Canis lupus familiaris: one gene and its partner. The protein of the gene in region 2 binds, or shares a complex with, the protein of the main gene of each other region. Links are inferred from orthologs where the notes say so. Each region holds a gene or a part of one and is shown on either strand. Other genes may lie near its edges. The genes, in order: VTI1A and STX12.

The links.
Region 1: the proteins of STX12 (region 2) and VTI1A are in contact, whole or in part, in a crystal structure (PDB 2NPS), measured with the Rattus norvegicus proteins. The link is inferred for Canis lupus familiaris from reciprocal best matches to the Homo sapiens genes STX12 and VTI1A. Residues at the interface, in NP_075228.2 of Rattus norvegicus: Glu185, Ile188, Gln189, Leu191, Glu192, Ile195, Leu196, Val198, Asn199, Phe202, Lys203, Leu205, Ala206, Ile209, His210, Gly213, Ile216, Asp217, Glu220, Val223, Glu224, Ser226, Glu227, Val230, Glu231, Ala233, Ser234, Asp235, Leu237, Gln238; in XP_038945999.1 of Rattus norvegicus: Arg131, Arg134, Ser135, Arg138, Leu139, Ala141, Gly142, Ile145, Ala146, Glu148, Thr149, Ile152, Gly153, Met156, Asn159, Leu160, Asp163, Arg166, Arg169, Ala170, Arg173, Leu174, Glu176, Thr177, Asn180, Leu181, Lys183, Ser184, Ile187, Leu188.

What each region holds. Positions count from the first base shown.
Region 1 is NC_049249.1:23,996,039-23,999,853, forward strand, and holds part of VTI1A (vesicle transport through interaction with t-SNAREs homolog 1A), read left to right. Parts: intron 1-1,643; coding exon 1,644-1,714; intron 1,715-2,371; coding exon 2,372-2,433; coding exon of another isoform or gene 2,434-2,437; exon of another isoform or gene 2,438-2,444; intron 2,445-3,501; coding exon of another isoform or gene 3,502-3,526; exon of another isoform or gene 3,527-3,815. UniProt on the Homo sapiens protein: V-SNARE that mediates vesicle transport pathways through interactions with t-SNAREs on the target membrane. These interactions are proposed to mediate aspects of the specificity of vesicle trafficking and to promote fusion of the lipid bilayers.
Region 2 is NC_049223.1:71,975,143-71,979,402, forward strand, and holds the start of STX12 (syntaxin-12), read right to left. Parts: upstream 2,962-4,260; coding exon 2,844-2,961; intron 1-2,843. UniProt on the Homo sapiens protein: SNARE promoting fusion of transport vesicles with target membranes. Together with SNARE STX6, promotes movement of vesicles from endosomes to the cell membrane, and may therefore function in the endocytic recycling pathway.

The DNA of each region.
Region 1 (3,815 bases), on a different chromosome or scaffold from region 2:
TGCAATTACATGCATTTGTATGGTATCCTATAGCTTTCAAAACATTTTTACTTAGGTTAATTTCATTTGACTATAGCAACAATTTTGTAAGAAAGGTAGGACAGATCTTTTATCTTGTGATACCCAGTTCCAGTGGGTTGTGGCAGACCTAGGATGGGAGGGGGCCCAATCCCCTAGGATGGGGGGAACAGTCCATTGGTTCTTAATATCATTCATCATCATTCAACAAATGCTTATTATTGCTATAGGCGAGTCACTGTGTTAAGTATTCTAACTGAATTATTTAACCTTTACCACAGCCCCTTGACATAGAATAATCTTCTTTCCATTTTAGAAGTAAAGAACTAAGGCAAAATGAAGCTAGGTAACATATGCAACGTCACACAGCCAGTAAGCGTCAGCACTGAGGATTAGGCTCACACAGTGTGAGTTCCCAATCTAAACTCTCAATATGGCCTAACCACTGCTCCACAGTTTTTAGGATGTCCCTCTGAAAAGTTTGTTGGTATACATCCATGAGCCAAATAACTACCATGGTGACTTCCTAATGATTTCATTAAATTATTTGCTATAGTAATAGATGCTTGTTTAGTGTTGCAATAAATTTATAAGCCAGAGATAGTTGTTGTATAGGTTGTAGGTAAAGAGACAATACAAAAAGAAAAAAAAAAAAAAAATGTAGATACGTGGTAGTCAGATAGGTTGCCAGTATTACAAGTGTGTCAGATTTGTCATTCTTCTATTATAGAATAAGGTACCTCCCAGGTGATGGAGAATGAGTCTAAAAAAAAAAATTTAATTCAAGGCAGCTGAATATTTGTCAGGTTAGGACATACCTAGAGTCTTGTAAAAGAAGGAGAGCCGACCAGTGCCAACCAAATGGGATGATCACGGCAGAGGAAAACCTCATCGGAACTCAGCAGCGTGCTTTTTAATGAATGTTCTAACCTGCCTATTCCTGTATAAATGGAAGTTCTGTTTGCAGCTTGAGCTTTCCTCAGCCATGTGTGAAGTGCACCTCATCCTGACTCAAGTATCCACAGCAGCTAAGAACACACTAACGGAACCCTTGCTCCAAGAGAGCAAAAGCCTAGAGAGAGTTCCACTAGCAATAAGCTGCAGTAGTTGAGATTCTGAGGACTGTGTATGGGACGAATACATTAAAATCAAAATTGTTCTAACTGGAGGTTTGCCTACATACGCAAAGCAGTGCAATAATAAAGTGGGGGAGGTAGAGTAGAATCATTAACATTAGTTGTAACCTGCAAAACCGAGACTAGATTCCTATGTAATGATAAAATTATTGGAAGACCATTGGACCTGGGCTTTTCATCTTGCATCTTGGCAGATAACAAATATGCTGAGGTGGCCTTCGGCAAGTCGTATCACCTCTCAATCATCACTGCCTTGTTGGTTATGTTCTATAGGTTGAATTGTAAATCCCATGTAATCATATCTAAGATATATAGGTAAATTTATTAAATACTTTAAAAATATTTTTTATGTATAAGAACTATGTGTCCGATATGTAATGTACACTTATTAAACATGAACTCTGTGCCACTGCCATCGTGGTACCCCTAGAGTTTGTTTCCACTTACACCAAAAGCCACCCTTCCTCACTCAAATTTCCTTTTCAATAGAGCAAATTGGCCAGGAGATGTTGGAAAACCTCAGTCATGACAGAGAAAAGATACAGCGTGCACGTGAACGAGTAAGTAAGAAGGGATACAAAATTCTTTTCATAAATTCGGTAAATGATAAGACATAAAACAAAAGGCCTCCAACACATCCATAGACAGTAGTGATGACATAGATGTAAGTGTGTATAAAAATGGCAAGGGTAGTTGAGGGATGTCGAGTAAGGGGAGAAGAAAAAGAGTGGAATGGAGAAAGAAGCTGACTCTTTCCCCATCCTTAAATGCCCCCAGGTAGATATTTTATTTAGCTCTATAACTGAGAAGGTCAGACTTTGGAGTATGTCAAGTCTTACAGAATGAAAGCTGTAAAGATAGTGATGTCTCATCCTCCCTCAGTTTACTTCATTTCCGTTCATATATCTAGGACTTCACGCATTCAAAATTGGATTTTAATTACGAGATGTATATTCAGCATTGTCCGCCTAAGAGACATGCTTTTATCGCCGGTTCAAGTATCCAGTTTAATGCTCCTGGGATCATCTATTACATGTAATTTCTTAAATCTAAGAATTTTCAGAGATTGTGTAGGTGTCATGATGTATTTTAATGTATTTAAGTATCTATTATTAATTGGATTTCCATCCATGAAAAACAATTACTGCTTGCCAGTGCATTTGCAAAATGATCCAACTGCACGAAGTTTTGTTTTAACATTCCTTTTCTCCTCCTAGCTTCGGGAAACAGATGCTAACTTGGGGAAAAGCTCCAGGGTTCTGACAGGGATGTTGCGAAGGTAAGAGTAAGGTAGGGACCTATCTTCCTCTCTCTCCCTTTTTTGAAACGACGGTTTTCATCTAGTTGCAACTGGCCATATTCCAGGCATGCAAGCCTCTGCTCTTAGTACCCTGGGTCAAGACCCTTTTGAAATAACAGAGCACTGATATTAACTCTTGTTTGGACAGAGACACATGCTGAGTAGCTTAGATTAGAGAGAAGGTTTGAGCTAGGGGGGTTACCTCAAGCTATGGAAAAAATTAGGGTTAGACATGAAGTCTTTTTTCATAGCCCGAGGAAGTCCCCATGGCAGGAACAGACCGATTTTATTTTCTATTTCGATAGCCTCCTTCTTATAGAAGGAATGCGGGCCTGCGGGTATTAGCTGTGTTCTCTCTCTGTTGCCTTGTTTTCATTTTATTTCTTTAAGAGATGCTGTTTGGGGAAATATTTCAATTTTACATATATTTAAAGATGATTTTTAAAATTTAAATATTATCTAAAGAATCTGAATTCACATGTGCGAGCAAACAAATGTCAGTGTTTTATGTGCGTTAATTAACCTTTGACTGATGGAAGATATTTGGGAAAGTAAGTGAAAATAAATGAATGCCTGGGTAATACACTATATTCTGTATTTTTCAAGGGGGAAGTAAGAAATGTTTTCATTGTTCTGAAAATCAGAGCCATTTTTTACTTAGGATATCTAGCATGGTACTTTCTTACATTCAGTATCTACCAAATAAGATTATCATCTAGCATAACCTTCAGTTTGGGACTGTAGCTGGAAATGTGAATGAGGAATGTCAAGAATCGCCTCTAGAATAACTTAATTGGGATTTTACAGAAGAAATCTTTTAGCACTAATACTGTAGAGACAACTGTTTTAGAGTAAGGAAAATCATCTCTACTCAGGTATCTGTATATAATAATTTATTAGGAGTGTTTTTGCTGCATTAGCGATGGATGGCACAAGCAGTGGATAGTTACTTGGTCTCTATCAGGCTGATCAGTAGCGAGCCTGGAGTTCCTGCGACACCTCCAACTAACACTGACCTAACTCCACATGCCCCTGCTTTTCCTACAGGCACAGTGCCAATTCAGAACCATAAGACACCAAATTCTCTGCCTAAGAGTAATATGTAAATGATCTAGAAACACTCAAAATCCACACAGAAGTGGCAATTGAAAGGAATGCTTCAGTGCTTATAGACAATAAAAAAGGGAAAAAAAGGAAAAAAGTCCTCTATTGCTTCCCTGGGAGGGCCCCTGCGATGTGAGCTGTAACGAATATTCTGCATATGTCTCCATTTTGTCAAATCTCATTAAAGAGTCCTTCTGCTTTATGTCAATTGAGCTGTCCAGAAATCATTCATCATTTTTAGTGTAAAAAAAAATCAT
Region 2 (4,260 bases):
ATTTTCTATGGAGAGGAAAAAATGTCACTTGTAACTTGAAGTGCTAACTGCTGGGATGCCTGCCTCAGCGGTTGAGCATCTGCCTTTGGCTTATGGTGTGATCCCGGGATCCCGGATCGAGTCCCACATCGGGCTCCCTGAATGGAGCCTGCTTCTCCCTCTGCCTAGGTCTCTGCCTCTCTCTCTCATGAATAAATAAATAAAATATTTTTTTAAAAGTGCTAACTGCTACAAATATAATATTAATTAAAAAGTATAAAAAGGCTAATTATTGGTCATAAGAGACAGATCTGGTTTCAAATTCAGAAATTGTCATTTGTTTGCTCAGTAATTATTTAAACTTTATCAATCTGTTTCCTAACCCATAAAAAGAAATAATATTGGTAATTACTTAAACGGAGTTGTTAAAAAATTAAGTAAGATAATGCATATGAAGCACTTTTCAAATTGCCTGGCACACAGAATGTACTCAAATGTTAGCTATTAGTGTTATTAATGGTTGACTCCAATAATCCCTTGAGCCCAATACCCAACCAACAGCTAAATCTTATCAATTCTGTCACCACAGAAGCCTATCCTTTCCTTCCTTTTCATTTTCACAGTTCCTGACTGGTGTCTCTAATTCCAGTTTTTCCCTTCCAATTCAATTTATACATTCCTAAAGAACTAAATCCAAGGGACTCCTGGGTGGCTTAGCTGGTTAAGTAGCTGCCTTTGGCTCAGTTCATGTCTCAAGGTCCCTGGGTCAGGCGCCCTGCTCAGTGGAGAGTCTGCTCTTCCTTCTGTCCCTTCCTCCCACCCTCATCTCCACTCATTTTCTCTCTCACAAATAAATACTCAAAAAAAAAAAAAAAAAAAAAAAGACTAAATCCACCCCCCTTTAGTTTAGCGCTTAAAGCCCTTCATGTTTGGGCCCCAACTTACCTTTCCTTTTTTTTTTCCTAATATTTTATTTATTAATGAGAGACACAGAGAGAAAGAGAGAGGCAGAGACACAGGCAGAGGGAGAAGCAGGCTTCATGCAGGGAGCCCGACGTGGGACCTGATCCCGAGTCTCCAGGATCACACCCTGGGCCAAAGGCAGCGCTAAACCGCTGAGCCACCTGGGCTGCCCTCAACTTACCTTTCCAACGCAATTTTCCACAACTTTCTAGAATCCCTTCTAGCCAAATTAAATCACTCTACTTTTCTATATACACCCCATGCTTTCCCACTACCACGCCTTGTTCATTTTATTCCCTCCTCTTCCCTTCCTCACTGTTAAAAGTTCAAATCCTTTCTACTACTTTCCAGACTTGCTCAAATGCCACAATGGGTTTCCCAGATCCCTCCCAAGTGAAATTGGTATCTTTTCCCCCTGAATACCTACTCAATGTTGTTATACCTATTCTTCAGTACTGAACCCTTTCAACTTTATACTTCAGTTGTTACGTACTCCATAGGCTCCCTGTTGAAAGAATCCAGGCTATGACAGTTCCTATACTCAATATGAGTATATCTAATAGTCAAACAAACATTTGTAGAATGAAAATTTCTCAAACAGACATTAAGGTTAGATTTAGCCTCAACAATAAACTTTCAGCCTTGAACCAGAATCTTCCTGACCTAACTGGTACTACAGCTCCCTCACAAAAGGAGACATTGGAACACAAAGTACTACACTTTCAAATCAGTGGTCATATTAATGTTTTTAAATTTCTATCCTAACAGGCCACATATTTTTCCTTCCACTTCCAATTCACCTGGTCTCACACTCTTTCCATCAGAAACTTTCCCCCTCTTTATATATAGAACATAATTATAATTTAGGACCAACTGAGTTCTATCAACAGAGTAGAGCCAAGCTCACAAAAACACAATAATAAAGGATGCTGATCACCATTCTTTCCAAGTAAAGTTGTGCCACTAACCTGATTATAGGGCTCTCTGCAATGATCTTCAGGCACAAGAACCTGCCTGTATTTGTCTCAATCAGCTCAGTCTTACTCAGACCCAATGATGGGGGTGGGGGAGTAGTTTTAAGACAAGCAACGACATTCTGAAATCCACCACTAACTCTACCATGTCTTACTTCCTGTGTGATTGTGATCCTGAGCTTCTCTGTGTATGAGATTTGTTCAAAAAAGCAGCTAAATAGGGAAGGAATGCAGAAGCTTCGTCAGCTTGAAATCCAAATAAATGTGCAAATCTTTGCTACAAAAGACAAAACCATGTCAAGGGGAATGTTTTCGGTGAATTCTCTTTATTAAAACATAAGTCATTTCACTCCTCAAACACAAGTCATTATATCTGATTTCCAAATTCATTAGAGGAAGAGCTGGGTATTAAGTCACCCAAATACATGCACTCCCCACTTCCCTTAACTGAAAGCTGATTTCCAAGGAGCAAAAAGCTGAGCAGAATGTAAACTTAAAGTCTAGATCAGTAAACAACTCCTGATCCAAGCTGGCCAAAGAGGAAAGGGCGGTGGGTGGGGGTAAGGCAAATGACAGGAAAAACTCGGCTGACCACTGCGCCAAGTCAACTCACTCACTACTCCCGAGATGACACACACACCCCTCCCACCCCAGGGCTGTCAGGACTGCTGCTTCGGCCCCAATATCATGAGGGCAGGACACCTGAGAAGAAATTCAAGCTTCAGCTGGGGCTGGGGACCCTCGGGGAGCCTGGGCCTGACACACTCAAGGATGACAGCTGCCGCCCCCGCAGTGGAGAGCCCGAGACTGCCTCAGGTGTGGCTTTGGCCGTAGCCCGTAGCCTCGGCCGGGCTCCGCATCCCGGCAACCTCACCCAGGCCCGGCCCCGGGACGGCCCCCGCCCCCCAGCCCCGTCCCCCAGCTCACTGGCTTGGCTGATCCGCTGGATGTTGCCACTGCACGTCTGTATGATGCTGTTGAAGTCCCGGAGCTGGGGCCCAGAGGACCCCGGGTTCCGATACATGTCTAAGGGACCGTAGGACATGACGAGGAACTGAGACCGACTCTCCCGGCACCGCGCTCCTACCGGAAGCAGCCGCCAGACTGAACCCGCAGCCTGACGGGGAAACCGAGAAGAGAAAGGGCGGGGGAAGGGGCTCGGGATGCGTGCGCACTGGCTCCGCCCCCACGCCGCGCGCACGCGTCCGCCCCGCCCCGCCGCGCGTGCGCAGGCGCCGCTGGAACTGGTGCCGCGGAGAGGCGCTTAGAGACTGGCCGCCTGGGCCTTGGGGAAATGGGGCGGGGCGATGACGTCACGCGGTTAGGGCTCGGATTGGAGGAGCCGGTGTGACCGTGTTGTTTCTCGCCGAGAGCACGGCGACGGGAGGCGAGGATTCTTGATTAGCATAATACTGTACCAGATGACCTCAGCCCTAGCATCCTATTCTGTTCTATACTGAGAAGTCGGGCCCATATATGGGAGAATTCCACACCCCTGTAACTCAGAGCGGTAACCGAACTCCTGAAATTCCCCACTCTACTTCCATCCTGTAGGGCTTTGGTAGTAATTGCGGAGCACCTCTAAGGTGTACAGGTCGCTTTCATTACTCCCTCCACCCCTCTTCTAATCCAAACAATAAAGCGATGATAATAATAGTTATTGAGCACATGCTATGTATCAATCTTCACCGCAATTCACTTGTTCATAGACAAGGGACAATGTTCTAACTATCTTTACGTTCAGAATAGATAATGGAAAATCGATTTTTTTTTTAATGTTGAAGCAAAGTAACTCGTCAAGAGTTATTTACCCCTTTACAAAACGGAGAAAACTAAGGCCAGAGGGGTTAATTTGCTTTTCTGAGATTTGACTGCAAAACCCAAACACTAAGCTAACTACGTCTTCATCTTGCTACTTCCCTAAAACGCATTCTCATATTCCCAAATTCATTCTCCATCTAAATCCTTCCCAAACAGCCTCTTCATTTACTGTATATCCCAAACCAGGTTTTTTTTTTTTTTAGAGAACTAGATTCTCAAATTTTAAAAAACATTCCCTTGAGGATGGGAGAAAAATCATTCCCTAATTTTGAGCATATGACCTCAATGTTCCCACAGAAGACTGCATTTTGTGAACTTATCATAAAGGGACAGACGTGGGTAGGATTTGGGTTTGGGAAGGGATCAAGATAGGAAGAAATGAAGGGGAAACTGGCAGTGTTTGTTTCATGTGTTCTCCACCCAACCCCACCCCAGCCTACTTTGCAATCTCTGGGGAATGGCAAGAGAGGAAGCTGTTTGCCTGTTTGGGAGGAGACCCGAAATGAGTGAATGAGCCTGCATT